4 linked regions of the Tamandua tetradactyla genome follow. The protein of the gene in region 1 purifies or fractionates together with the protein of each later gene. This does not show direct contact. Links are inferred from orthologs where the notes say so. Each region holds a gene or a part of one and is shown on either strand. Other genes may lie near its edges.

What was found.
Region 2: the proteins of POP7 (region 1) and RPP40 purify together in Homo sapiens (co-immunoprecipitation; 4 studies listed by BioGRID and IntAct, with this or other methods). This does not show direct contact. The link is inferred for Tamandua tetradactyla from reciprocal best matches to the Homo sapiens genes POP7 and RPP40.
Region 3: the proteins of POP7 (region 1) and IBTK purify together in Homo sapiens (affinity purification with mass spectrometry; 3 studies listed by BioGRID and IntAct, with this or other methods). This does not show direct contact. The link is inferred for Tamandua tetradactyla from reciprocal best matches to the Homo sapiens genes POP7 and IBTK.
Region 4: the proteins of POP7 (region 1) and RPP38 purify together in Homo sapiens (co-immunoprecipitation; 3 studies listed by BioGRID and IntAct, with this or other methods). This does not show direct contact. The link is inferred for Tamandua tetradactyla from reciprocal best matches to the Homo sapiens genes POP7 and RPP38.

What each region holds. Positions count from the first base shown.
Region 1 is NC_135349.1:8,780,175-8,786,145, reverse strand, and holds POP7 (ribonuclease P protein subunit p20), read right to left. Parts: upstream 1,607-5,971; 5' UTR 1,406-1,606; intron 1,154-1,405; 5' UTR 1,140-1,153; coding exon 717-1,139; 3' UTR 509-716; downstream 1-508. UniProt on the Homo sapiens protein: Component of ribonuclease P, a ribonucleoprotein complex that generates mature tRNA molecules by cleaving their 5'-ends. Also a component of the MRP ribonuclease complex, which cleaves pre-rRNA sequences.
Region 2 is NC_135351.1:7,329,766-7,336,807, forward strand, and holds the start of RPP40 (ribonuclease P protein subunit p40), read right to left. Parts: upstream 3,012-7,042; 5' UTR 2,933-3,011; coding exon 2,810-2,932; intron 2,580-2,809; exon of another isoform or gene 2,299-2,579; coding exon of another isoform or gene 2,191-2,298; intron 1,395-2,190; coding exon 1,250-1,394; intron 1-1,249. UniProt on the Homo sapiens protein: Component of ribonuclease P, a ribonucleoprotein complex that generates mature tRNA molecules by cleaving their 5'-ends. Also a component of the MRP ribonuclease complex, which cleaves pre-rRNA sequences.
Region 3 is NC_135331.1:138,996,111-139,004,046, reverse strand, and holds the start of IBTK (inhibitor of Bruton tyrosine kinase), read left to right. Parts: upstream 1-4,929; 5' UTR 4,930-5,162; intron 5,163-7,936. UniProt on the Homo sapiens protein: Acts as an inhibitor of BTK tyrosine kinase activity, thereby playing a role in B-cell development. Down-regulates BTK kinase activity, leading to interference with BTK-mediated calcium mobilization and NF-kappa-B-driven transcription.
Region 4 is NC_135333.1:47,446,425-47,454,047, forward strand, and holds the start of RPP38 (ribonuclease P protein subunit p38), read right to left. Parts: upstream 3,003-7,623; 5' UTR 2,876-3,002; intron 2,858-2,875; exon of another isoform or gene 2,518-2,857; intron 1-2,517. UniProt on the Homo sapiens protein: Component of ribonuclease P, a ribonucleoprotein complex that generates mature tRNA molecules by cleaving their 5'-ends. Also a component of the MRP ribonuclease complex, which cleaves pre-rRNA sequences.

The sequences.
Region 1 (5,971 bases):
AGGGCCTGACCCTTCCCAGCCCCCAGCTGCTCAGGAGCAGCCCTGGTGGCCCAGCTAAGCGAATGAAGGAGTTAGGGTTATTCGTCAGTTCATTTAGTTCCCAGTTCAGTTCATTTAGTTCCCAGTTCACCTCTCACCGAGCCTGAGACAAAGAAGGCCCTTAGGGTGTTATATGTGCTTCCTTCATCCTCAAGCCCTCCCATTTTTGGTGTCACCAGAGGAGCAGTGGGAGGCTTCCCAAGCATACAACTGTCACTGTTGCATTTTATGGGGCAAGAGTGGATGCTTATCTGCCCAGCCTTCCTCTAAGAATGAGAAATTTTAAAGCAAACGCTGGGACTGTCAACCTCTGCAGTGCCCTAGACCATTTAAGGTTACCCAGACCCTAGGATGATCTACACTGTCTGTGAAGGCAGAAAACATTCAGGTACCCCCTCCTGTAGCTAAATACTTTGCGTCTCCTACCCTCCCTCCTCTCCAGGTATACACAGAGAAGAGACACTGGCAGTGAGGTGGCAGGACACTAACAAGTTAGCACTTTTTATTGCAAAGGGCAATGGTTCCAGACCACACACAGACTCCGGAAAACCCACTGCTGGGATCCAACAAGAAGCAACACCCTCCTCCTCATTTTGGAGTCCTCTGGGGTGAGAGGGGCCAGGCGTTTTCCTTACACGGCTCTGGCAGAGGTCCACGACAGTCCAGCCTCATTTCAATTACTTGGGTGTGACCCTGAAGACACGGATATGGATGGCAGAGTTGTTGCGGATGCGGGTCAGCGGCTCGCGTGCATCAGTCTCTGGTTCCAGCTCGTCGACGAGCTCCACGGTGGAGGTGTTGGCAGCCACCTGCAGGGCCCCGAAGCTGCCCGCCTGCAGCTGCAGCGCAATGTTGATGGCGCGGTTGATGGCCAGGCCCAGGCCGTGAATGTAGATCTCCGTGCAAGCGTTCTGCCCCCGCGCCCCTCCGTCTAGCAGCTTCTGGCAGCGGGCCAGCTGGGCCTTGAAGTCGGTCTTCATGTTGACGTAGATGTCATTGGGCCTCCGGGGCAGGCGGTGGGGAAGCCGCTTCCGAAGGGTGTACTCCACCGGGTCCAGTTCAACTTCGACCGTCCCGCGGGGCACTCGGTTTTCTGCCATGCTGGGGGCCCCGGCTTGGGAAAGAGGTGGGGTCAGAGAAGGGTCAGAAGAACTTCACATCCTTGCCCACCCCATTTCCAAAGGATGCACCTGGGAGGGGGCGCATACGACGTTCCTCCTTCCAGCCTCTCACCGCTCCCCTCACTCCCTCAAGCTCCCGCGTGCCCCTCCCCGCTAGTTCTTCCTCGTCGCATCTCCCCCAAATGCATGTTCCCCCAACCTCAGGCCCCTCCCACGCGCCCCCGCCCCGGCTCTTCCGCGCCTACTCTCTCCGTTCCACAGGGCCCTCCACGCGCCCCAGACAGGCCTCGGAAGGGCTGCGCCGGCCGGCCCAAGAGGAGGGCTTTGTCCGCCACCCCCAGACTCGAAAACAAGAAGAGAAAAAAAGGGGCGCGCCACAGATACGTCAGATCGCAGGCGGCTCGCCGGCGCCGAGCTCCCGCAAAGGCTGCAGAAATGCGCAGGCGCGCCCCCACCGCCACGCCCCACTGCGGCCAGGACCGCGCGATCCACGAATCGCCTTCCCCGCTCGGTCTTCCCCGCCCCTTTCCTCAGCGACCGCGTGACCCCGCGAGGGGTTTGAGTAACGCGATGCTTCCGGCGGTGAGGGGACCTACCACGTGGGCGCCCCGGAGGCGGGGCGAAGAGAGAGGAGGAGCATACCAAGTCCCTGCAGGGGAGGAGCTAGCTCCTCCCAGCTCCGGCGAGTCCATGTTCCCGGCCCCCGCAGGGATCCTTACTCGGGGGAGGAGGAGAGGCCCTTCGAGTGGCGCGGAGGGTGGGGGGTCTTCCCAAGGATAGCAGGGAGGGGTTGAGGGTGAATGCAGGAGAACGACATCCCAAAAGGGCCTGAAGGCAAGTTGGGGCTCCCGCGTCCATCGCCGTCCGTCCGGCTAGCAAGGCGTGGGCAGAGTGGGCAGAACGGACCTCCCGCCCCAGGTGGCCCCGTAGTCCAAAGACGGAGGGAGGAATTGAGGGCCCAGGTCGGTCTGCACCTCGGCGAGGACAGCGCCCCGGGACCCGTCCCTCCCTCCTTACGGGCCCAACCCATGAGCAGTAAGTCCAGCCTTCGCTCTGATGTAGCACTCGCGCTTGGGGTACCAGGTCTGCTCCCCCAGGGCACGGTGACCCACCCACACCCCTCAGCCCCAGCCCGCCAGCTCTTCCCCGGCTGCTTGGAACCCGAGAGTAGAAACGCGCGCCCCCTGGCGGGCAGGGTGGGGTGGCTACCCGCGCAGGGTTCCGGGGACCCCAAGACCACTGGGGAGGAGTTTCCCACCCGGGGAGGGAGGAGGGGGATCTCTGCCTAGGGCTGTGTAGCTTCTGGAGCGTTCCCGGCAGACAGAGCACGGATAAAGCGTTAGACCTGCATTGGAGACCTTGAACTTGCCGCTTGAATTTCTCCATTACCCAAAAGGGTGATAACTCCTAAAACTAGATTGTACTGGAAACTGTCAATCTGAAAACCGTAGGCCTACACACGGGAGTTGGCATATTTATGCCCCTTGGGCCTCTTTCTGGTTGCCTGGGGTTGAAAAGAAGAGATCGGTTTTCTAAGAACTTTTCTCTGAGCCCGATTTCAATCCTGTAGTTCTCCTTTGCCTCAGATTCTTTGTTTAACCCCAAGCTTGGGGTTTATGCCATAGAGGGCAGGGAGGAAAGGCTGGCTCCAGAGCTTACATTCCTAACTCAGAAGTGTTATCTGATCTAGGTTTTGGCAGATAAATAGGAATTCTTCAGGGAACCTAGAACTAAAAGTGCATTCTAGAAATGCTGAACAGTATTAAAAACAGAAGGAAGCATAATTTAAACTTCTGCCTCAAGAAACTAGAAGGAAATAATTAAAATAAGAGCAAAATAAACAAAATTGAAAACAAAAACAATAAGGAAAATCAATTAAACCAGAAGCTAGTTCACCGAAAAGATCAATAAGATTGATAAAATCTAGCAAGACTGACAAAGAAAGAAAGCAAGAGAAAGACACAATTATGATGACCAGAAATAAAAAAACTAATGGCACTAATGAGAGGGCACTCATACTCAGTATGAGTGAATACTGCCTACTAAGGGAAGACCACAAACAATGCTACGCACGTGAATTTGACAACTTAGATGAAATGTACTAATTCCTAGAAAACCTCAGACTAGCAAAACTCACCCAAGATGAAAGAGATAATCTAAATAGTCCTATACTAGTAAAACAATTAAATACCTAGTTAAAAGCCTTAGAAAATAAATATCTAGGCTCAGTTGGCTTCACTGATGAATTTTACCAAACATTTAAAGAAGATTCTACAAAATTTCATCCTGAAAATGGAAGAAGAAACACTTTATAACTCATTTAAGAGGCCAGTTTCACCATTAATACCAAAAACTGACAAAAACTATACAAAAGAAGAAAACCGTAGACTGGTAATGCTCCAATAATACATAATAAGGATTATATACCATGACCAAGTTGGGCCCGGGAATGCAAGACTGGTTCAGCAGAAGAAAAACAAATTAACGTTATCAATCATATTAATAGGCTAACAAAGAAAACCACATGATCTTATCAATTGATGGAGTAAAGGCATTTAATGGAATTCAACATCCATTCATGATTTAAAAAACAAACAAAACAAAAAAGAAACGTCTCAGAAAACAAGAAATATGATCAATAACATATACAAAATTCTACCGTTAACATGATATTTAAGGTGAAAGCCAAGTTTTTCTGTTAAAATCAGGAACAAAGTAAGGATGTCTTCTCTTACTACTCTTATCGGGAGTCCTGGCCAGTTTAATAAAGCAAGAAAAGGATACAGCTTGGAAAGGAAGAAGTAAAACTGACTCTACTTGAAGATGGCTTGACAGTATTCAAAAATATCCCAAGGAATCTACCCCAAAATCCTAGAACTTATAAGTGCATTTAGCAAGTCTGTAGGGAAGTAAAGCAACATACAAAATTGTATTTCCATATGTAAGCAGTGAATAATTGGAAAATGAAATAAAAAATAAAAAAATAATTTAAAAAAGCATTTACAAGAAATACTCCAAGAAAAAAAGAAAAAAAAAAAACGAAAAGAAACACCCCCCTATGCTTTAGTGTCTAACAAAAGGCAGGCTCCAGAATTTACATTCCTATGTACCTCAGAAGTGATATCTGATCTAGGTTTTGGCAGATAAATAGGAGTTCTTCAGGGACCTAGAAATGAAAGTGCATTCTAGAAACGCTAAACAGTATTAAAAACATAGAATGAGCATAATTTAAACTTCCACCTTCAAGAAACTAGTAGAAAATAATAAAGGAAATAATTAAAAGAAGAGCAAAATAAAATTGAAAACAAAAATAATAGGGTATGCATCTAACAAAATATGCACGAGGTCTGTATGCTGAAAACTCCAAAATGCTGATGAAAGAAATGAAAAAAAGATCTAAGTAAATGTTCATGTATCGGAAGATCTGAGATAATAAAGATATCGACTCCCTACATTGGTCTTTAAATTTAATGCAGTTGCTTTAGAAACCAGAAAGAATTTTTGTAGCTTTAGACAATATTTATCATCTAAATTTATCATCATTATGACTTCATTCATTCTTTACAAATAAGTATACTGTTGCAATTTGAACATAAAATTTTAGCCTATAAGTAAATTTTATTTATGATAGATCAAATAAAACCTTATTTTACTATTTAATATAGAACTTGGGCCTCCATTTTCAGTGGATTAATTTAAATCAGCCCCTTTAGGACACCAAATCAAATAATAAGGGGCACATGTACACGTGTGTGTACACAGGTATGGATATTCTCCTTATTATCTGATTTCCTGAACAATAGTTTTCTCTCTGCAAATTAGATTTCATTTGCCTTCAAGACAGGGAGTATATCTTAAACTTCTCAAGAGTTTGCCACGATATCTGTAGGGTAAGAAAGATATAAATAACAAACAGTTTAACAAAAAAATTTATATGGAAAGGCAAAGGAAGAAGAGCAGCTAAAACAATTTTGAAGAAGCAGTATCCAGTTATTGGAATCACACTACCCCCAAAAAAATAAAAATAAAAATAAAAAAATAATTAAAAAAAAAAAGGAATCACACTACCTGAGGTTAAGACTAACTATATAAATACAGTAATCAAGACATTGTGGTATTGGCAGAGAGTTAGACACAAAAATCAGTGGAACTGAATATAGAACCCAGAAAGAGATGGTCACAAGTACCACCAATTGATTTTCTTTAATGTTTTTTATTGTAAAATATAACGTATATATAAAGCAAAGAGAGAAAAATCAGTAATTCTCAAAGCACACGTCAACAAGTACTTACAGAACAGATCCCAAAGTCTCACATGAGCTACCATTCCACCATCTCAGATTTTTCCTTCTAGCTGCTCCAAAACACAAGAGGCTGGAAAGAATTTTTTCTTTAAATTTTATTAATTAAAAAAAAATTACAAGAAACAAACATTCCCAACACATACACTCAGCAATTCACAGTATCATCACATAGTTGCATATTCATCATCATGATCATTTCCCAGAACATTAGCATCAATTCAGAAAAAGAAATAAAAAGACAACAGAAAAATATAACAAACAGAAAAAAAAAAAGTTTTACAGGCCATACCCCTTACTGATCCCTTTCATTGATCACTAGCATTTCAAACTAAATCTATTTTAACATTTTCCCCCTATTATTTATTTTTATTCCATATGTTCCTCTAATCTGTTGAAAAGGTAGATAAAAGGAGTATCAGACACAAGATTTTCACAATCACACAGTCACACTGTGAAAGCTATATCATTATACAATCATCATCAAGAAACATGGCTACTGGAACACAG
Region 2 (7,042 bases), on another chromosome or scaffold:
ACACACAGAAGCAACCCAAGTGTCAATCAACCGATGAATGTATAAACAAAATGTGGTATATACACACAACTGAACATCATAAAAAAGAATGAAGTCCTGACACATATGACAACATGGTTGAACCCTGAAGACATGATGTTGAGTGAAATGAGCCAGACACAAAAGAACAAATATTGTATAATCCCACTGATATGAAATAAGTGATCACAGTCAGAATTTACATTATAGGTTTACTAGAGGTCAGGGCAGGGATGGGAACAGGGAGTTGTTTTAGTTTTCTAGGCTGCTTAAGCAAATACCATGAAATGACAGCTTAAACAATGGGAATTTATTAGCTTATGGTTCTGAGGCCAGGAAAATGTTCAAATGAAGGCATCATCAAGGTGATGCCTTCTCCCCAACACTGTGGCACTCTGGGCCTGGCTGTCACTGGCTGTTGGTCCTTAGCTCATCATGTGGCAAGGTACATGGCAGTGTCTCCTGGTCTCTCCCTTCTCTTAGGCTGCACTGACTTCAGCTTTTTGCTTCCATGCCTTTCTCTCTTATGTATGAATTCATTCCATTTATAAGAACTCCAGTAATAGGATTCAAGACGTATTCGAATTGAGATGGGTCACGCTTTTACTGAAGTAACCTCATCGAAAGGTCCTAGTTACAATGGATTTATACCCAAAGGAATGGATTAGATTTAAGAACATGTTTTTCTGGGATTCATACAACTTCAAACCACCACAGGAGTTAAGGCTTAAAATGATGGCAATACTTGGGTCATGGATGGTGGTGATGGTAGCACAATGCTGTGAATATAATTAACAGCACCAAAACACATACTTGAATGTGGCTAAAAGGGGAAATAGTAGGTAGTAAATACAGTAATAAAAATTTTTTTAAAAATCCATGAAATAGCACTACACAGTGAACCTTACATTAAAATACTGACTATAGCTTAATAGTACAATTACAAAAATGTGCTTCCATCAATTGTAACAAATACACCACACCAAGGCAAGGCGTTAGTAGTAGGATGGTATATGGGAATTGCTTTTTTAATGCATGATTTGTTCTGTACACCCACAACTTCTCCAAAAGGATGAAAATACAGGGGTGGGGGTAGGGTCATGTCTGCATCTGGCTATATACACTTTCACCAGGGGCCTGAATTAAACAAGAGAAGAACCCAAGTACTGTGGCATGGTCTACCTGTAGTTTCCATTTTGCCAAGTTCACAAACACTGCATAGTTTTCTTACCTTTCTTTACAAAGGTGCTGATAAATTCATGTGTAATTAATTCATAAAGAGGTAAATTCTTCACAGAGTAATAAGGTCCAGTTTCCATGACCAGGTTTTTAAGTTCTTTTGATAGTATCCCACATTCAGGAATTAGAAATGAAACCTATTAGAAAGTATAATATAAACAAGGTCTTATTTTCATGCAGTCATGCCCAGGTTCTTAAGGAAAAAAACTGCATCATGAAAGCTAACTACTCATTTATAGGTTTCTGGGCATGAAACTCTTAAATCACCAATTTCAGGGGAAAAAAAAGATATTTGACAATTCAGGGTTTTTGTTTCTGCATTCAAACATACAGTATAGGATTGAGACAGAGCAGAGAATTTTTAACGCGAAGGTATGGCTTGCATTTTAACTTTTGCAAAGTATTTTATGTCCTGTTCCTTTCATTACTTTAATTCGTTTTTGAGGAAATACAGGACAATTGCACATTCCTTGATTTGTTTACCCTGATAGCATCCTGGAATCAAAGGCAATGACCCTCAAGGTATAAGGATTTGGGGCCGTCCAATGATCAAGATTACATGGAAGTAAAGCGTCCCTCCATGTTTCGATTTTCCACAAACAGAAAAAGCCAACAGATTAGACCCTATGTGTTAGGATTCACGCCCTCAATACTGTTTGTGATGCTCTTTCCATCCAAAGGAGAGGATGTTAAAACTCGACAGATTTCAAACATCACCCAAGCGCTCCACAAGCTGAAAGGCTCTTTCCCAAAGCTCTAACGCCAGTCAGTTCCGGGCGCCACCACTCAGGTCTCTGAGTGGTCAGTCAGGCCTCACTAGAGATTAAATTGATCGATTTAAACTGTAAAATATTTAAACCGTTATCCTCTTTAACGGTTGGTGGACTTTTTGGCCGCCTCTCCGCTTCATCGGGTTAGTGGAAAAGGACCCACCAGACACTCGCTTGGAAATCTGGGTCGCTCTCCTCTACTCTCCGCACATTCTGGACAAGCCAATAATTCACCTCCCTGATGCCTCACGGCGCCCCGAGAGGATGACATGTTAGCTAGAGGAAGCAGAGCGCAGCAGGCTAAACGGAAAGTTTCTGGGATCTCAATCCGACTCCCGGATAAAAAAAGAGGCTGCTTTCTGGGCCCGAGCTGGCCACAACGTTCTGGAAAGAGCCATAAGCGTTCCGGCGGCGGGGGTATGAAGCAAGGGCACCAGAGGCACCCGGCCGACACCACGCCCTCCTACCCCGGCGCCCGGGCCACCGCCTCGCATCTCGGGGAACACAACTCCACGTGGGCCGGTGGGGACCTGAGCAACGAGCGGGAGGGTGAGGCCGCGCACTGCTCCTCGGCCCCGCCCCCCACGCCCAAGGCATCGTGGGAGTAGTAGTCTTCACAGACAAGCGAGACGCGGTTCCGAGGAGACGACGGAACGACGGCTCCCAGCCTGCACCGCGAGGACGGCCCCGCCCAGGACCGCCCAGCCCAGCGCGGTGGCCTCTCCACCACACCGCCCACGGAGATCGAGAGGGGATTCCGAAGGCCCGGGTCAGCGACTCACCCTGTAATTGTGGTAATGCGTCTCCACGAGGTGCCGGTGGCGTGACTTTTCGTGGCGGAAGTTGGATTTCTCGCAGACCAGCAAGTGCCGGGGCACCTCTCGAATCCCGCGCAGGGTGGCCATCCTCTCCGCGATTCCGGAACGGCTCTTAACTAGCCTGAGTCGTCGGACCGCCCCACCCCGCCGCCCCGCCTCCTCGGGCATGCGCAGTGCGGTCTCTCGGCGCACGTGGCGAGCAGAGCTTGTGGGTGGGTGCAGCTTGAGTGCCTAAGTACCTGGGACCTTTCTACGTGTTCCTTAGGTTCCCTCCCCTCCCTGCTCTTCTGCCTCTTCCCGTCCCCTCCTCCCCCCCTTCCCTTTAATTAAAAGCGTTGTGGGTTTACAGAGTAATCACGTATAAAATACAGGATTCTCATACACCACTTCATTTGTATTGGTTTGGAAATTGATGATACTGCTTTTTTGTAATTGCTTTTTTTTTTTGCAGTAGTTACATTTGTTAGAATTGATGCGAGATTTAAGTAATATTAACTATTGTCCATAGCTTATGTAGAGGTATTTTTCCACATATTTGCAACCTATTATTTTTTTCATGTGTTATTACTCATCAACCATTACACTGGATAAAGGGGGTGTCAGTGACAAGGTTTTTGCACTCACATGGTCATAAGCTAAAAGCTATGTAGTCATAGGGACATCAAAGATCAAGGCTACTGATTACAATTTAACAATTTCAGGTATTTCCTTCTGGCTATTTTAATGTACTAGAAACTAAAAAGAAATGGCTACATAATGACTTAGTAGTCATAATCATTTGTTAAATCCTTTCTCGGTTACAATGCCTCCCTCTCATTTGATAGTTCTCTCAATCTTCAGGAATATCTGGAAATGGCCATTCCAACTTCTTCATGCTGAAAAGGAGTGTTGACATTGCGGGATAGAGGAATGAAATGGTTGATGTTCTTAGAGAGACTGGTAGCTATGGATTTCAGGGCTTGTCTAGCATAAAAACTATCTGCGGGCTTTAAGATTCTGAAAAAAAAAAAGGAATTTAGAGCCTAGGGTATTCTTTAGAGTTTTCAGGCATACTGTTGGTTGGGGCTTGGCCTACTGTGGCAATTTGCAATAACTGGCTGAAGCTTGCGTAACACTAACCTCCAGCATGACCTCTCAACTCTATTTGAAATCTCTTAGACACTGAAACTTTATTTTTTCTTTTCCCCTTTTGGTCAAGAAGACATTGTCAATCCGATGATGCCAGAGCCAGGCTCATTCTTGAGAGTCATGTTCCATTTAGCCAGGGAGATTTATACCCCTGGGAGTCATGTCCCATTAGCAGGGAGGGTAGTGAGTTTATTTGCAGAGTTTGACTTAGAAAGGCCACATCTGAGCAACAAAAGAGGTTCTCTTGGGGTGACTCTTGGGTGTGTTTATAAGTAGGCGTAGCTTACCATTACAGAAATAAGTTTCATAAGGGCAAGCCTCAAAATCAAGGGCTTGGCTTATTGAATTGGGACCCCTTAATGCTTAAGAGAATATCAGGAATTCCCCAGATGGGGAAATCTAACATTTTTCCTCCACTGTCTCAAGGGACTTTGCAAATACTTTTTTCTTTACTGCCCAAAGTACCTGGGATCTTTCTGGAAGTTCCTTAGGTTTCTTAAGAAGCCATGCATAATCACCCTGGTGGGTTTCTGGAACCATAAATTCACTGCCTTAAATGGAAATACTTGTACTGGGGAATTGGAGCTTGTCTATTATAAGCAACTTTTTCCTCCATCCCTCTGGGTTGATGTCTCTGGACACAAATCCCTTCCATGTACGTCTGGGACATCTGGCTGGCTGCAGGCTGAGATAGGCTGACAGAAAAACTCATGCCCTGGTCAGGCCTGCTTAGGTAGGCTACTCAGTGCCACTATCATAAAAAATGTGGGGAACTCAAAGTGGAAGTCCAACTGAATTGTACAATTGAGGAAACACTGCACAGTTAATTGGCCTCCAAACCTGTTTGGGTGACCACACTCATGCCACATTTCTGGCACAGTATGGCTCACACCTCATTATCCTGTTGTGTATCTCTTAGCTATAAATAACACATGAACAGGGTCAAGAGTTTCTGTTGATCCTTTCAAAAATGTTAGGAACACCCACTGTAGTTTGAAGTATATATGATAACAAGCCCATCCTGCATTTCCCTCTTGCAGTATGTCTCAGAGTTTTATCCTACTCTTTCTAAACACTTCTAATAATGTGTAACTATTGATGATTACACTGATAATTCTGCCATTCTCCATTTCATTTTTCTAATTAACTCCAAGTTCTACATGACTACAGCTACTACATATTGCTCAAGCTGCAGTGTGCACAGCCCAGATTCTTTGCAAAACAATATCTGTGGTGCATCTTCCAAGAGTATTCATTTTACTACAAGGGATGAAAGAAAAGATGTTAAGTAATGGCAAGCTGAGTAATTAATAAGTTAGAACTAAGACAAGCCTGGAAAGTCATCTGCCATTAAGGTCAGTACTCTGTGCCTGAAAAATCAGACTTTCCCAGAGAAAATGGCAAGGAGAACCTATATCCCATTGCTTAAAGTAGGAAAAATTGTAAGGCCTAACAAATCAATGAAAATCCCCAACCAATTTCCCAAATCATGTGTGGCACCACGATATGTTATAAATAATATCGTGTCAGGATAGGAAATGTTTAAAGCATTGCTTCCTCATTGCCTTATGTGCTGATTTGAAACTATTGTGTACCCCAGAAAAGCCATTGTTCTTTAATCCTCATTCAGTATTGCTGGGAGGGATCCTTTTTATTGTTTCCATGGACATGTGGTCCACCCAATTGTAGGTGGTAAATTTTGCTTAGGTGGTTTCCATGGAGATGTGTCTGCATCCATTCAAGCTGGGGTTGCTCACTGAAGCCTTTTAAGAGGAAACCATTTTGGAAAAGGCTTTAGTGCTGGCAGAGATGCATAAAGAAAACTTTCCCCAGGGAAGCTGCATGAAGAAGCCAGTAGAAAAAGTTAGCAGACATCACCATGTGCTTTCCTAGCTGAGGGAGAAACCCTGAACTTCATCTGTTCTTTCAATGAAGTTAGGGTATCTTTTTCTGGATGCCTTTGTTTAGACATTTCTATGGCTTTAGACTGTAAACTTTCAACTTAATAAATTCCTTTTTTAAAAACCATTGCTTTTCTGGCATATTGCATTCCAGCAGCTTGTGCAAACTAAAACACGTTATGTTTTTTTAATAAGCAGTTGCTTTGTGTGCAGTTGCCAGGCCTCATTTATACCAGCAACATCAGAGAGGTATGTCTTCTCTCTTGAGTCTCCAAATCTTTGCAAATTGACTAGCATGATTTGAATGTTCTACCAATTGTATTTGGAATGCAACATGAAACTTTCCCAGCAAACCATTTAATTTTAAATATTCTCTTAAGTTTTATCTATACAAGCATCAACTGAATAATATATTGGGAGATAAATATCTGCTTGGCACTAAACACTCGTCCAGGAATATTGGGAATGTGTTTTGTGGGTTGTGCCTGCATTCTGAAAGAGAAGGCAAAAGTCCCATTTATTTTAAAGATAAAACTGTACACTTAAGTATATTTGGGGCTGAGGAGTCCTTTCAGGCTATGTCCCCTGAGTTCTATAGTTCTGTGTCTATATGATCCCTTGCTAATATTGTTCGTTTCTCCTTCCTTACTAGATCATTTCCATCTGCATGTTGTGCATTAAATGAAACAGACCTCCTTGCACTCCCAATTCCTTTCCATTTACCATACTGTTTCTCAAGCTACCTCCCCTCACCTTCTCTCTGAACACATTCCACTAGAACTTTCCTCCTCACTACTTCACTGAAATGGTTTTTATTGAGGTCATCAGTTACCTCCAATTTGCCAAATCCATGGTCAAGTTTTGTTATTGTCTCAGACAACCTTTCAGCTGCATTGACGCAGATGATACAGTTGTCCCACTTCCTCCTTCTTGAAACACTGCTCTGGAATTTCAAGAGACCCCTTTCTCCTGGCTACCCTCCACTTCCTCCACTCTTCTTCCTTCTGCCCTTCCTCCTCCACCAGATCTCTGGATATCTCAGCCCTTTTTTCTCTTCTGTCTACCTCTGTTCTCAGAGTGATGCCACACAATCTCACAACCTTGAAAACTGTCCATATGTTGATAAAACCCGAGGGTGCTTCATTCTCTCCCCTAAGAAGGTGCACTC
Region 3 (7,936 bases), on another chromosome or scaffold:
AAGTGTTCAGAACCACTGACCCCAGAAAGGTCTTGGGAGACAGCTGACAGTTAAGTCTCTGGGTGTCAGCCGGGCTTGCACTTGAGATCAGAGTACTCCTTGCACTTCCCTCACAATTGACAGGGGCCAGCTGCTGAAACAATAGAGGCCTTGTGTGAGCCCAACCTCACCTCCTGCTCTTGAGATTCAGCTGAAATGACTGAGTGGCACTTACTTTTCCCTCTTGGCATGAGTGAAGTAGCTTCTTCAGAGTCGCCCAATTAAAGGAAAGAGAAAAGTTCTTGCTTTGAGATGCCGCCTGGGGAAAGGGGTAAATTCAAAAAAACAAACAAATACAAAAAGCTACCCTGAGCTACTTACTTAAGATTTTTGCAGAAAGCAACCATATTTTAATGGTTTCTATCCTGATCGTGGAGGTGGTATGATTTAAGGGTTAAGAGCATGGACTCTTGGAACACATTTTTTGACCACCTACTTTCTTTTGCTGAAGATACATACCCTCTTAGCAAGGGAAATTGCGTGAGAGGGATTTAATAAGGAAGACTTTCTTAACAGAGGGAGGGGAGAGTGTTGCTAGTTGCAGCATGACTGAGGAAAGCTCTAGAACTGCCTTTGCTAAGGATATCTAAGGTAATTGCCATCTGTGTGAGAGGTTTCTGCCCTGTGTGAAGATAGGTCTAGTGATGACAGAGCCTCCTACTATCCTTTTCAAGGATAGATTCCCATGATTATGGCCTCTGCTTTCTGTAGTTGAATGTTTTGGGGGAGGTATATTGTTTTTGAGGCTGTCTTCCTTCTTTTTACTGCAGTACCTCAGCTGCAAGATTAGTTTCAAGGTAGTTAGGTTGAGGTGGTGGGGATGTAAGGGTATGGGAGGAGTAAGACTGGTAGTATGATCAAGAGAAAGAAAAACAGTCACCACCCTCTAATTCCTGATATTGGTAACTATTGTTTTTGTTGGTGTTCTAGTTTGCTAGCTGCCAGAATACAATATACCACAAACGGAATGGTTTTTAAAAGGGGAATTAAATAAGTTGCTAGTTTACAGTTCTAAAGCCCAGAATATGTCCCAATTACAAGTCTATAGAAATGTCCAATCAACGGCATCCGGGGAAAGATACCTTGGTTCAAGAAGGCTGATGAAGTTCAGAGTTTCTCTCTCAAGTGAGAAGGCACATGGCAAACACAGTCACAGTTTCTCTCTTGGCTGAAAGGGCAAACAGCAAGCAAGGCAACATTGCTAGCTATCTCTCTTGGCTTCCTGTTTCATGGAGCTCCCTGGGAGGCTTTTTCCTTTTTCATCCCCAAAGTTTGCTGGCTAATGGGTTCTCTGCTTCTCGTGGCTCTGTCATTCTTCTCTGGCTCTCTCTGAATCTCCTTCATTCTCCAAAATGTTTCCTCTTTTAAAGGACTTCAGAAACTAATCAAGACCCACCTGAATGGGTGGAGACATGTTGTTATGTAATCCACTTTAACAACCACTCTCGATTAAATCACATCTCCAGGGAGATGATCTGATTACAGCCTCAAATGTACAGCATTGAATAGGGATTAGGAGAAATGGCTGCCTTTACAAAATGGGATTAGGATTAAAATACGGTTTTCTGGGGTACATAATTTCAAACCAGCACAATTGGGAACATTTTGTTTTGTACATCTTGTTTGCAGAGGCATTGCAGCAGGTTGTTTCGGTTTGCTAAGACTGCTAGAATGCAATATACCAAAAATTGGTTGGCTTTTATAGTGGTGTTCTATTAGTTTTGCAAATTTACACTTCTAAAGCTATGAAAATGTCCAAATTAAGGCATCAAGAGGAAGGCTGCTGGCATTGGGGTTTCTCTGTCACATGGGAAGGCAGATGGCCAGCATCTATTGGTCCTTCACTACTGGGTTTTGTTGCTTTCAGGTCCTGGTTCCAATGGCCTCCTCCCTATGTTTCAGTGGGTTCTCTCTTAGCATTTCTGGGGCATTTCTCTCTAAGCTCTCTCTCTCTCTCACTGTTTCTTTCTCTGAATTCTCTGAGTTCTGTCTTTTATCCTCAGAAAGGAGTCCAGTAAAGGATTAAAACACAACTTGAATTGGGTGAGTTACATTTCAATTGTAACAATCTAATCATAAGGTCCCACCCATAATAGGTCTGCCCTCACAGGAATAGATGAAAAGAAACTGAACTTTTCTGGGGTACATAGCTTCAAATCAGCACATAGGTGAACTATGTACCCCAACAACATGTGTTCTTAATCTTAATCCACTTCCCTGTGGGGGGTCAATCCCTTATAAACAGTATCTTTGAATATATTAGGATGAGTCAGGGTGTGGATTCATTTGTGAAGAGGACCTTTCAAAGTTCTATTCAGGTGTGATCAACTTAATAAAGGTAGACCTGTTACTGGACAAAGGCAGTGGATTCTTTTGTCCCATGTGCTCAAATGACCAATTCCTGAGACACCAGGGTTTCAAAGAGAGAAAAAGTTTATTACTAGGTGCATAGCAGGAGATCAGATGGCCTATTGGCCCAAAAATCTGTCTCTCTCAATTGCAGTAATTCTGACAGTTTCATAGTATTAAAAGATGGGCAGGTTTTAACATAATGAGTAGAATGGCCCAGACGATGTGATTAAAGGTGATTCAATTATTGAGCATGCACAGATTGATTACATGCTTAGTCACAGGGCATATGTAAGAAAATGGTGGCCTTAGTATGATGATGGCCATGATTTTTAGTATTATAATGAGGTATAGGTGGCTTATAGATTTAAAAATTTAAGATTTTAAATGGGCACATGTCAGGTGGGCCCATTTTGGTTAGATCCACTTAAGATAAATTTGGACTTGGAGTGGGTTAGTTCTGAACTGACCCAGGACCCTTCAATAATAATTAGGGGCTGTCTTAGTGGTCAAATGCCTCTAAATTGAAAAACTGGATAAATGGGTATAAGTGAAGATTAGTCACAAGGGTTTTACAATCACAAGGGCACAAGATAAAGGCTATATAGTCATTATCACAGATCAAGGCAGCTGGATTACAGATTACAACTCAAAGATTTCAGGTATTTCCCTCTGTCTACTCTACTACACCAGAAAGCAAAAAGGAACATCTACACAAGAATTCAGTAATCATAACCATCCCTTAAATCCGAATTTCTGAGCTACAGATTTTAATCCAGATCACAATAGTGAAAAAGGAGAGGAGATCGCTGTGTGACTGGAAATTAGATATACAAGCCTAAGGATTTCCAGCAGCCAGTCCCAGAACAGATTACTAGGAGAAAGCAATCCTTGCTGATATTTTGATTTTGAACTTCTGGCCTCAAAACTGAGTCAATAAATCCCTGTTGTTTAAGCCAATTTATTGTGTGGTTTATGTCAGAGCATCCTGGCAAATTAGGACAGGCAATGACAGTACAGAGTAAAAGGCTATGGACTGTATTTTCAAGAATGTCTGTATAGTAAATAAACTTGGTAAATAGTGAAGAAAGAGCAGTGGGCCAGTTTGTTTACTGTCCAGTATAATAAAGATAATTTCTCTCTCAGGAGCAAAGGTCAAGTAGGTTTGTTTGCAGCCCATTATAAAAGATTAAGGTTCTCCAAACTTGGGGTTCCTTAGTTGAGATGCCAATCCACAGTATTTACATCTACCAGGGCCACACTGTGTTATTAAGAAGGCCTTGGGGCCCAAAAGGAACCTACTTAAATTAGTTCATGACGCCATGAGTAATAAAGTTCTTGTAAACCAGGAATCTCATTTTGTTGCCAGCATCCATGAAACTGTGGCTGGCAGGCTAACTCGTTAGCTTTGCAAGCAGGGTACACTTTCAGTCTCTTAAAGCTCTTCTTACTTTTTTTTTCTTGCTAACTTAAGTAAGAAATTTATTAATTTTGTTGATCTTTCCAAAGAACCAACTCTCAGCTTTGCTAACTTTGTCTCTTATTGTGGCTATAGTTGTCAGTTGAATTATATCTACATACATTATAAATCCAGGCAGAAGTTATATTGCATGGGGAAGAGGAAGTAGCAGGAGACCTGGGTTTTAGTTAGTCCCTCCCCTTCACTACCAGACTCACTTACCTTTCCACAAGGGAGACTACAGAAAAAAAGGGAGTAAAGCTGAATGTGCCCTCAGAAGACATCCAGTCCAACTCCTTTATTTTATGACTAAGTAACTTGTCCAACTGACAATGTGGCAGAGCTGTACAGCCAACTCCTGACTTCTAGTGTTGTTTGTTCTGAGTCACACTACTCCTCCTTGAACAAACATTTTCATGTATTAGGCATTGAGTATATTTCCTATTCGGTACCCTAGTATTGATTATTGTCTACTTTCTTTCCATCCCACTTTTTTTTTTTCTGACTATTTTAAAAATGGCCCTAAAAGGTAGGGGCTTAGGGGTTGGGGCTGTGGAAGCCTGGCATCCAGCACCTACTGGCATGACCACAATCAGTAGCTGGTCTCATGGTGACGATATAAGGAAGACAGTATTATGTTCCTTATCCCGGATAATCCGGGTGTATAAGCGAGTCAGCAAGGGGCAAGGCTGAGGTTCCGGAGGAGGAGGCTTTTGTTTTTCCAGTGACCCCACCACCAGGGTAAAGGGAGGAAACTCTTTTCTATGCATGATGCCTACGTAGTCGATTTCTGCTGTGGTGACTTGGCGCCCAGGGCATCCGGCCAAAGTCTTCCTCTGAATTCTCCACTCCAGGCTTTTCCTCCGTCCAACAGAGAGATATTTCTACCTGGATTGACCTCAAAATGGTCCTTCCCACCGCTTCTGAGGGCCTATAACCCCCAGTTACGGTCTTTCCCCGCCCCTGGCTGCGCTGGCAACCCCAAGGCCGGCAGGGTCAAGCTTTTAGGGTACTGCCACGCGAGGCCTCCGGGAAGACATCCAGCCAATCCACATGAAGTATACACGAGCCCCAGCCAATCAAAGTCCGTCTTATTCCTGCCTACCGCCCGCTCTGGCCCTCTTTCCCTGCCTCTCTTCTCGGGGCTTGTTAATCGGCGGCAGTAGTTGCAGCGGCCGTCGGAGCTCAACCGACCTTGGGGACGGGCACTCCTGGCGCCTTTTGGTCTCTTTTGCTGCGGTCACTGAGAATGAGTCCCTGCGCGGCTGTGTGCCGACTCGGCGGAGATCACTGGCGCAGTTTCATCTAGCGACTGGTGAGAGAGAGGTCGGCGCGGCCCGACTGTGCGAACCAGGCTGAGGGGACTAAGCTCCTTCAGCCCGGGGGCGACGGGAGAGAATTCACTTTCTCTAGGGTGTGGGTGACGGCGGACGCCGGTGGCGCGGTGGACTGCGGGAAAGGGACGCAGCGGCGCCGAGCCTGCCGGGCTTGGCGCGGGCGGCGCAGGGCTGGCCAAGTGATCCTCCCTTAGTTAATGAATGGCCTGTTCTGAAGATGTGCTACGTTGCACGCTTGCGGGACACGCCCTCCAAGGATGTTGCGTTCCTAGTGTCTTAGTTGTCAGGTGTCACTTGCCGTTTGAGCCTTGGACTTGAAGGCATTTTTGGAGCTACCGGTGTACCGTATCCAGCCCCCCCCAACCCCTTTCTTGGGGTCACAAAGTTTTAGTCCGTTCTAGGAACTCTGTGTTTGAAAGCAGGTCATGAACTCTAAGCTAAATATGAATTAACTGTGTGAAAAGGGACAGGTCCTTTTGTTGGAGGTGGGGAATGCGGAGGGAGTAGAGACCTTTTGTTCTTGTATCAAGCAGAACTGTCAGATTAAAAAAGTTTTAGTTAAACTTTGAAATTGGTAACCGAAGCCATCCTTGATTCCTGTTTTCCAATGTAGTTCATGAAACCGGACGGATATTTTCCAGAAGCAGAGATTGATGTACCATTCTTTCTTATGTCCCTTGGGAGGGCGTTTGATATTAGAAATTTGTCAGAAATACAGAAAGAATGTGACTTTATGAATGGTAGTGTTTCTGTGCCCATAATTTGGTTGGTGCAAATTCGCGTGCTTACCTTGCCCCTTCTTGAGGATCATTCCACTCCTTTTTCTATTTTGAAATCCTTGATTTTCATTTGTCTTAGAAATAGATTTAAAAAGTTAGGGCAGAAAGGATTGTTTTCTAAAGAGAATTATTATAGATATTTGAAGAAATTTGTCAAGCCAGTTTACTTCAAGAAATAAAAAAAAGAACATACGGTTGTGTTCCATTATTGAAAAAAATTTATTTTCAACTTGTATTAAGAGCTTTCAGTATGTTAAATTAGATATAAGGAACTTAATTATATTTTTAACCCTCATTATTCTTTTGGGCCATACCATAAAGTTCAGTAGACCTTAAATGAATGTACCTGTTTTACTTTCCTAGCAAATACCATTAAATGGGTCTGGTTAAACAATGGAAATTCATTTGCTTATGGTTTTGAGGCTAAATCAAGACATCGTCAGGCTGTGGTCTACATAAAGGAACTTAATATTACTTTGTTAATTATTATAAATGATACAGAAGTTTAGTTTGCTTTCATAAATGGGTCAATAATTCTTTGTCACATGCAGAATCTGCTTGTATCCTAAGAGTTGGCACTTTTGCTATTGTAAAACAGGATACTTGACTGATAAAGTATTGAGACAAAGTTTCTGTCTCCTGTACCCAGAGAGTATCTGAGAACCATTAGAAAAAATATAATATTGATAGAGCTATTTATTAATTTCCTAATGTTGTAGATGCTTGTAGTTTAAAATTATGTAGACTGTTTTTAGGGCTTGTACAGAGAAATTAAAAAATTTTGATTATGAGTTGCTGTAATTGGTAGCATGTCTTAATTTAATATAGATACACATTTATAAGGAATTTTGATGTAAAGAGCTTTTTTTTTAAAAAACTACATATATTTTATGAGAAATATGAAGAATTATGACATTTTTCCCATCTCAAGGAGCTTAAATTTGTAAGCAAGGTACATACTTACAAGGCAGATCATGATTGCCAGTATTTTGCAGGTGAAGAAACTGAGGATCAGGGTGATTAAAGTTGACTAAGGTTTAAGATAGTGTGAACCCATCTTGTGACTACAAATATGGGTAAGATTTTCTATTACATTATTCTACTTCTCATTGAAGAGTTCCTGACATTATATTGAGATAGCAGTTTGGATTCAGAAGAATAGAATCTAGAGTACTTTATGTTGGTGTGATTTTGGATAGGCTACTTAAATTTTCACATCATTTTCCTTGTAAAATGAAGGTAATCATATTTATAGGGACAATAATGAATCTGAAATAAGGATGAAATTAGTTAATTTTTGCAAGGCATTATGCTTATCTATATCAAAGTTCCATTGATGGTAGATATTTTGTTTTTAAGGCTTAGAGAAATGATAGCCTTCTAAAGATCTGGGTGAAAAGCTTCCAAATAGGAAGAACTATAATAAAAGCGTTTTTTTTGACCTTTATACCAGTATGTCCCTTTTCATCCTTTTCTTAACATTTTTTGGATTCTTATCATAATAAATGAATTTTCTCATTTAATTTTCAGAACAACTCAGGAGACAAACAAGTGATACCCCTTTTTTACAAATGAGAGAATTGAAGCTTAGTGAAATTAAGTGTTGGGTCAGGGTCACTTAGCTGGTTAGTGGTCTAGCTAGGTTACTAGCTCAGGTGTTCTCTGAGTTCAGAGCCTGAACTTTATATATCTCCAGGCTTAACTGGAATCTTTTTCCTGAGGTCACTAGGCTATTATTACCTCATGTGATGCAGATATTTTGGTCGTGGATGTATCAGGGAATAGCATGATGATATGAGCATTGAGGAATATAAGTGAGCTCTTAACCAAGGATAAGTAGGATTTTGAGCCATTGTTGTGGGCTTAGATTAAATTGGCTAAAATGTGGCAAAACAGTAACACTTCATATTCATCATGTGTAAAACATAATTTTTCACTTTTTAATCTTTATTTATTTGTGCCTTAATTGGGTT
Region 4 (7,623 bases), on another chromosome or scaffold:
GGATTTCTCCATTACAAGAATGAAGTTGGATCGCCACCTCACACAATATACAAAAATTAACTCGAAATGGACCAATAACTTAAATATAAGAGCTAAACCCATAATATTCTTAGAAGAAAATATAGGGAAAAACCTTCATAACAATACATTTGGCAATCAATTCTCAGATAAGACACCAAAGACAAAAGCAACAAAAGAAAAACATAAATTGGACTTCACCAAAATTAGATACTGTTGTGCAACAAAGCATATTATCAAGAAAGTGAAAAGACAGCCTACACAATGAACACAATAATTATAAATTATATATAATAAGGGATCAATATCCAGAATATATAATAAGCCTAGTTAAAAAATTACCAAAGGACTAGAATAACAACTCTCCAAAGATGATATACAATTTGTCAATAAGCACATGAAATAGAAGCTCAACATCATTAGCCTTCAGGGAAATGCAAATCAAACAAAGTAAGATGTCACATCACACTAAAGGGATGGCTACTATTTTAAAAAGCAGAAAATAACAAGTGTTGGCTAGACTATTAGAAACTGGAATCTTTATCCATTGCTGGTCGGGAGGTAAAACCGTACAGCCACTATGGAAAACAGTTTGGTGGTTTCTCAAAAAGTTAAACATAAAATTACCATATGACCTGGCAACTACACTCCCTAGGTATATATCCAAAAGAACTGAAAACGGACTTGAAGAGATATTTGTACACCAGTGTTCAAAGCAGGATTATGCACAATAGCCAAAAGATAGAAACAACCCAAGTGTCCAACAAAAAGATGAACAGATAAATACAATGTATTATATCCATATATAATGGAATGTTACCCAGCCACAAAAAGAAATTCTGATACATGCACTACAACATGGACAGACCTACAAAACATCATGCTAAGTGAAATAAATAAGACACAAAGGACAAATAAGTGATTCCACTTATATAAATCTCTAGAATGAGCAAATTTAGAGAGAGAAAATAATACCAGAGCTGAGAGTGGAGGGTGGGAATGTGGTGAGGTGTTACTGCTTAGTGGGTACAGAGTTTCTGTTTGAGGTGATGAATCAAGTTTTGGTAATGGACAGTGGTACACATTGTAAATGTAATTAATGCCACTGAACTGTACACTAAAAATGGTTAAAATGGCAACTATGTATATAACTACAAAAAATTTTAATTAAAAAAAAGCTTAGGTCTAAAAAATAATTGGCAAGATGCTTACTGGGGAAAACATTATAATCCACCAGCCTAGGGAGTATATTCTACTTATCCTTCCCAGAGTCAACTGTATGTATCCTTTTCTTCCCCTTAATTTTCTCCCTCTCCTTCCTGGGGCTCAGCTGAGTACCATACGGGCCCACTTGGCAAAACTAAAGGAAGTGAAACAAGCCGTCCCTGGGGAAGCCTAGGGTTTGGAACTATCCCTATTTTCAGGAAACCAGAGGACTCCTATTGCCTCACTCCAGCTCATTTCTTCTCTCAGCTGGGCCTCCTCTTCCTGTTGGCCCACACAGGATTAAGTTCTCTCCAGTTAAATTCCACTCACTAGACTGGGTACTGCTGAAGAGCAAGTTTATCTGTGAAGTGTCAAAATTTATAAAGCACTATCCCCGGGTATTGTAAATAAGATTCTCAAAACATTCCTGTATAACCATCAATGTGTGAAAAGACTCACGTTAAATACCTTGTCCAAAGTCACAACTAGTTTTCCAAATCCAAATTTTATGCTCTTTTAACCCAGGCTGCATCTCAGAAATCATCTGCAGCTTTAAAAAGCCTACAGTTGGTTGGTGACACCCATCCCTACCCCGCCTGGAGCGCCACTCACACACTTACCTCCATGACCACCTTTCATATTTTAACAAATGTTTAGGGATTCCCCACAATGCACCTGGCCATAAAGATTGAGTATTAAACACGGTAAAAACAATCACTGGCCTCCTTGGGCTTACATTCTATAAGGAAAATTTATCAAACAGGTAATAATAATAATAAACGTGGTACCATTAAGATCAGGGAACTACAGGATGCTAAGGGAACATACAGCAGAGGCCTAACTTTGTTGAGGGGGTCTAGGAAAACCTCCTGGAGGAAGTGACTTTTTCATCGACCTATGAAGAATACCTACCAAAGGCGGTATAAGTAGAAAAGGGTGGTTCCAGTAAAGAGCATAAAGGAAATGAAATAAGCTCAGCGTCGCTGCAGCAGCGACTTCTCGAAGAGGAGTGGTAAAATGAGAGTCAAGACAGGACAGTAAGAACCAGATGGTGAAGGCCCTTGCAAACCTTGCAGCGGGGAACTACTAAAACGCTTAAAAGCTTAAGAGAGGCTGTATTAGAACGGCGTTACAGAAAGATCTTAGGGGATTCGGAGCAAGGCTGTGAGAATGAATTCAGCAGTGACTCCCGCACGGTCTAGGGAAGAAATGACGATACCCTGCCCTGGACTCGCCGTAGAGGGGAAAACGAACAAAACACGCTCCCTGCAAAAATTAGAAAATAAAACCTACGCGATGTGGAGACCGCCTGGGGGTATAACCTGGGCAAGACTCAGGACAAGTCCGGGTTTGTAAATGCGGTCACGGTGGGTTCAGTTTCCTCGGTAGGTTCACTCCTGCGGCCACCGCACCTGGCACCTTTGCTCTCATGCGGGAGCCTGTGAGGCACTGTGGGCCACTCGGGTATTTCTAGAGCTCTATCCACGCTCCCGGCTCGTAGACCGCGCACAGCCCACCCGTCCGGGAGGAAGTCGCGGTCCTACCGCCGCGGAGGCCACGTGTCATCTGGCTGCGCCTCGGCGTGAGTCACAGGGAAACCCGACCCGCCGCTCCCTCTGCCCCCAAGCCTCACTCCCCGACCCGGACTCACGCTCGGGCCCCGCAACAGTCCTGCGTACGCCCTACAGAGCGAGACGAATGCGCAAACCTCAAGGCCTGCGCGAGCAAAGGACCCTCCAAGCAGCGCCCTAAGCGCCAGTGCGCAGGCGCGAGGCGTGTTTCGCGACACCCTGCTGTTGCCACGGCCAATCTCGCGAGACATGCCTCGTTACCAAGGCCTGTTTCGGCTACCCTGAGGTTACCGCGGTGACTTTGGGATCTCGGTCCCCGCTGCCGGGTGGGTTGTACCAGATGGTTTCCGGGAAGCTACTTCTCCCTTGGCGCGTGTGCGCCCCCTGGCCCCCCCGAGATAAACCCAGCGCCTTGGAGGCTTGGCCCTCGGTCTCTTTTCTCTGGGTTTGTCTCGCCTACCGAACGTAAAACCCCAGCCTGGTTGCAGAACCCCTATCAAATCGTGCCGAATCCCCAGCACCATGAAAATCAAGATAGACGGAGAGAGTTGTTTTAGGCAGTAGTCTAAGAAACTGAGAGCCCCTTTAGCTGCTCTGAGCTCTGAAACTGTAGTGGGGATCCTCTTCCTGCTGAGGATGCTCCAAGCAGCGGACATCTAATCCTCAAGAGCAAGAGTCTCTGGGAAGCCTCAGGCGTGTGGTGAGGAAGCCCAGTGGCATGCCAAGCCCTCTGATCTGAACTACATGGTCTCTCCTGAGAGCAAGAACTCAGGAGACAGGAGGTTGCGCCTAACTTAGTGAGCCTTTTCCCACTCCACCCCTTGTTTTTCTTGTCCAGTCTAACTTGGGCATCCTTTCTTTTCCTCTTGTAAATATCTTCCCCCTCTCCTCAATTGCTTCATTGCTTGATTGGTTACCATTTAGGGGATCTGTTTTCTATATTTTCCATTTTCAACTCCTACATAGTAAGTAACTGGCCATAAAGTAAACAAAACAAAATGAAAAATTGTTCTTTTGGTCAAAGACCTTTGCAGGAGACACAGGGTAAAGTGTAATGTGATTTTTAACACAATTAGAAAGATTAACAAAAACGAATTTACAAGGAATTTATGTAGCGCAACAGGCTTTTGTTTCACAAAATGAATCATCTTAATCCGTGGTTGTGATGAATTGCAAACTATGCAATCCTAAAGCAGCCTTAGGGCAGGTGTTTAAGCTGTAAGGAAATAGTACAGGCCTAACTGAAATACCACTATAAGAGGAGGGATATATGTGAATTCCCACCCCCACCCCCAAATTCAAGATTTATAGTTTGAGCATCATCTTAGCTTATATTTGCTGCATGAAGATTACCAACTCTTACATTACATAGATGCCTTCATTGAAACCTAACTTCATCAGGACTAGTCAAATGACCCTGGATGCCATAATAGCTACCTAGGAAGTGATTAAAATATACCTGATTAGAAGTGGTAATCTGTGTTAAGATGCTTAACAGCACTGGCACATAGAATGTGCTTGACAAATATAGCTGTGAGGAATCCAGTGGCAACCTTGGAAGAATTAAGTAAAAAACTCACCATGGCCTCAGAGATAGGATTGTGGGAAGATGACAGAGTATGGAGAGCCAGGACTCAGTCCTAACACCAAATCAACTATAAAAGTCAGGAATTGTATGAAGAAATTATTTTGGAACTCCAGAGGTAAGAAGAACAAAATACACCATCCAGGGAAGAGTGAGAGGAAGGAGCTGATAAATTACGGTAAAGAACAGTAAATTGTTCTCTCCAAGTGATGGCTCCTGGAGCCCCATCCCCCACCCTCACAGCAGACCACTGTGGGGTCTGGGCCGTAGCTAGCTAGCTGGTGTCACAAGGACATAAAACTCTTGCCCAAGACCAGGTGTGGGCATGGCCAATCATGGTTTTTTATTAGCGAATTTGAGTCACTAGGGACTCGGTTCTGAGGGCAGCCATTTTTCAACTAGTGATGGGCAAAACTTATGCTGTGCATCCTCAACCCTTCAACCAAAAGGATTGCATTCGTTGGGCAGGCCAGGAAAGCTCAGCTTTTGGGAGCCATTGGAGAAGTTCTTGGCACCCCTCCTTAGAGCACTTTTACACCCTCTTTGTGTGTCCCTGGTCCTGTTTTGCTGGTAAAAACTGACTTGGGAAAATACTCTTCAGGATGCCCCTCCTCCCAGAATTTATCCTCCAGGCTAAAGCAGCTTAAGACAAGGGATGCAGTGTAAGAAACTATGCAGTCAAACACTCTTGGGCAAAGGCCTGTTGGCTTCAAACACCCAGGAGAGGGAGGTCTGTCTCCTGAGAAGCAGAGGGACAACCAAACTCCTACATGTAAACAAGGAAACTCCAAAACAGCTAACAAGCAAACACCCAGGACAAGACAGAAGGCCAGAAAAAGAAAACCCTGACCACTGAATTTGTCTTGGGCAGACCTACCAGATAGGAAGGGAGGAGCTCAAGAAAATCTCAGTCTTTTCAACAGCTAGTTACAAAATCAAGAAACAGCATCTCAGGGAATAAATCCCAGAGTTAACATTTTAAAATATTAATAGGTACAGTGTGCGGGAAAAAAAGTACAAGACAAAGAAACAGGAAATGATGGCCCATCCAAAGGAAGAGGATAAAAACCCAGAAAACATCAATGAAGAAATGAGAATGTGCACATATCAAACAAAGCTTTTTAAAAAATGATCCTAAAAATGCTCAAGAGGTTGGGCAATGGTGTCACAGTGGCAGAGTTCTTGCCTTCCATGCCGGAGAGCCGGGTTCAATAGCTGGTACCTGCCCATGCTCCCCCCTGCCACCCCCAAAAAAAGATGCTCAAGAAAATGAAAAAAATATAAAGAGCTAAAGGATATCAGGAAAGCAATGAATAAGTAAAATGAGAGTCTTATTAAAGAGGTAGAACTTTTTAAAAAGAGCCAGACAGAACTACTGGAATTGAGACCACAATAACTGAAATGAAAAATGTCCAGTAGGGTTTCAAGAGCTGTTTGGAGCTGACAGAAGAAGGAATTGGTGAACTCAGAGAAAAGAACTTGAAATGATCAGACTGAGGATCAGAAAGAAAAATGAATTATTAAAAGTGAAAATAGTCTGAGAAACTTCTGGGACACCATTAAGCGCACCAATACATGCATTATGCAATAAATGCAATATATCTCCCAGAAGAAGAAAGAAAGGAGCAGAAGGAATATTCAAAGAAATAATGACAGAGAACTTCCCAAACTTAGCACATCTGAAAAGTCCAGAGATCACCAAGCAGGATAAACCTGAAGAAAAAAATCACCATCATATATTGACCACTGAATTGAAAACAAAGGAGGAGAGAGTTCTAAAAGCTACAAGAGAAAAGCAACATATTATGTACAGGGAGTCCCAATTATATTGAATATACTTTTCTCACCAGAAAATATGGAGGCAACAAGGCAGTAGGTTTAAAAACTTAAAGAGCAGAAAGAAAACAACTGCCTTGTCAAGAATTATATACTTAGACTTCCTGGAAGATGGCAACTTAGTAAGACGCGCGGATCTTAGTTTCTTCTCCAGGACAGCTACTAGGGGAGTAGAAACGATACAGAAAGCGCCCAAAGCCACAACAGAGATAAAAAAGACAGCGTACCCCATCCTGGAATGGCTGGCTGGCTGAGAGAAGCCGCTCGGGTGAGATTGCCGAGGCGCGCGGGCCTCACCGGGCGGGGCGGCAAGCGGCCGGAGTTACTCCCTTCCCCCTTCCCAGGCCGGCTGGGAGAATTGGAGAGGCAGTCCCCTGAAACCAAGGCGGCTGGCGCCCACACCACGCGCAGCCCCCTGGACCAACTGAGAGAATTGGATCGGAAATCCTCAGGCCGCGGAGAACGGTGACGGGTGGGGAGGCCCCTTCCAAACCTGTGACTCCCGGGGAACGTGCACTCTCTCGGGCGGGCCGCTGCCGCTGGCGCCCTCCCGCCACGCTTGTCACCCAGGGCCGACTAGGAAATTCGGAGGGGCTCTTTCCCGGGCTGCGGCGACCAGCAACCCTCCCTGCGTTCGGACCCTGGGCCGGCTCAAGCCGCTTCGGCTAGCGAACCCCCCGGACGGCGAGAGGTTTCCAAAGTTTAAGGTCCCACAGCACCTTTTACTGGTGGGACCCGCAGACAAACGTGTGCCACGAGCGCCACCTACTGGGCAGAATAAGAAAAACAGAACCCAGAGATTTCACAGAAAAATCTTCCAAACTTTTGGATCCAATACCCAGGGAAATCTGTCTAAATGCGCAGACGCCAACAGAAGATAACGGATCACGCTCAAATAATTGAAAATATGGCCCAGTCAAAGGAACAAACCAATAGTTCAAATGAGATACAGGAGCTGAGACAACTAATGCTAAATATACGAACAGAAATGGAAAACCTCGTCAAAAACGAAATCGATAAATTGAGGGAGGACATGAAGAAGACATGGGCTGAACATAAATAAGAAATAGAAAAACTGAAAAAACAAATCACAGAACTTATGGAAGTGAAGGACAAAGTAGAAAAGATAGAAAAAACAATGGATACCTACAATGATAGATTCAAAGAGACAGAAGATAGAATTAGTGATTTGGAGGATGGAACATCTGAATTCCAAAAAGAAACAGAAACTATCGGGAAAAGAATGGAAAAATTTGAACAGGGTATCAGGGAACTCAAGGACAATATGAACCGCACAAATATACATGTTGTGGGTGTCCCAGAAGGAGAAGAGAAGGGAAAAGGAGGAGAAAAACTAATGGAAGAAATTTTCACTGAAAATTTCCCAACTCTTATGAAAGACCTAAA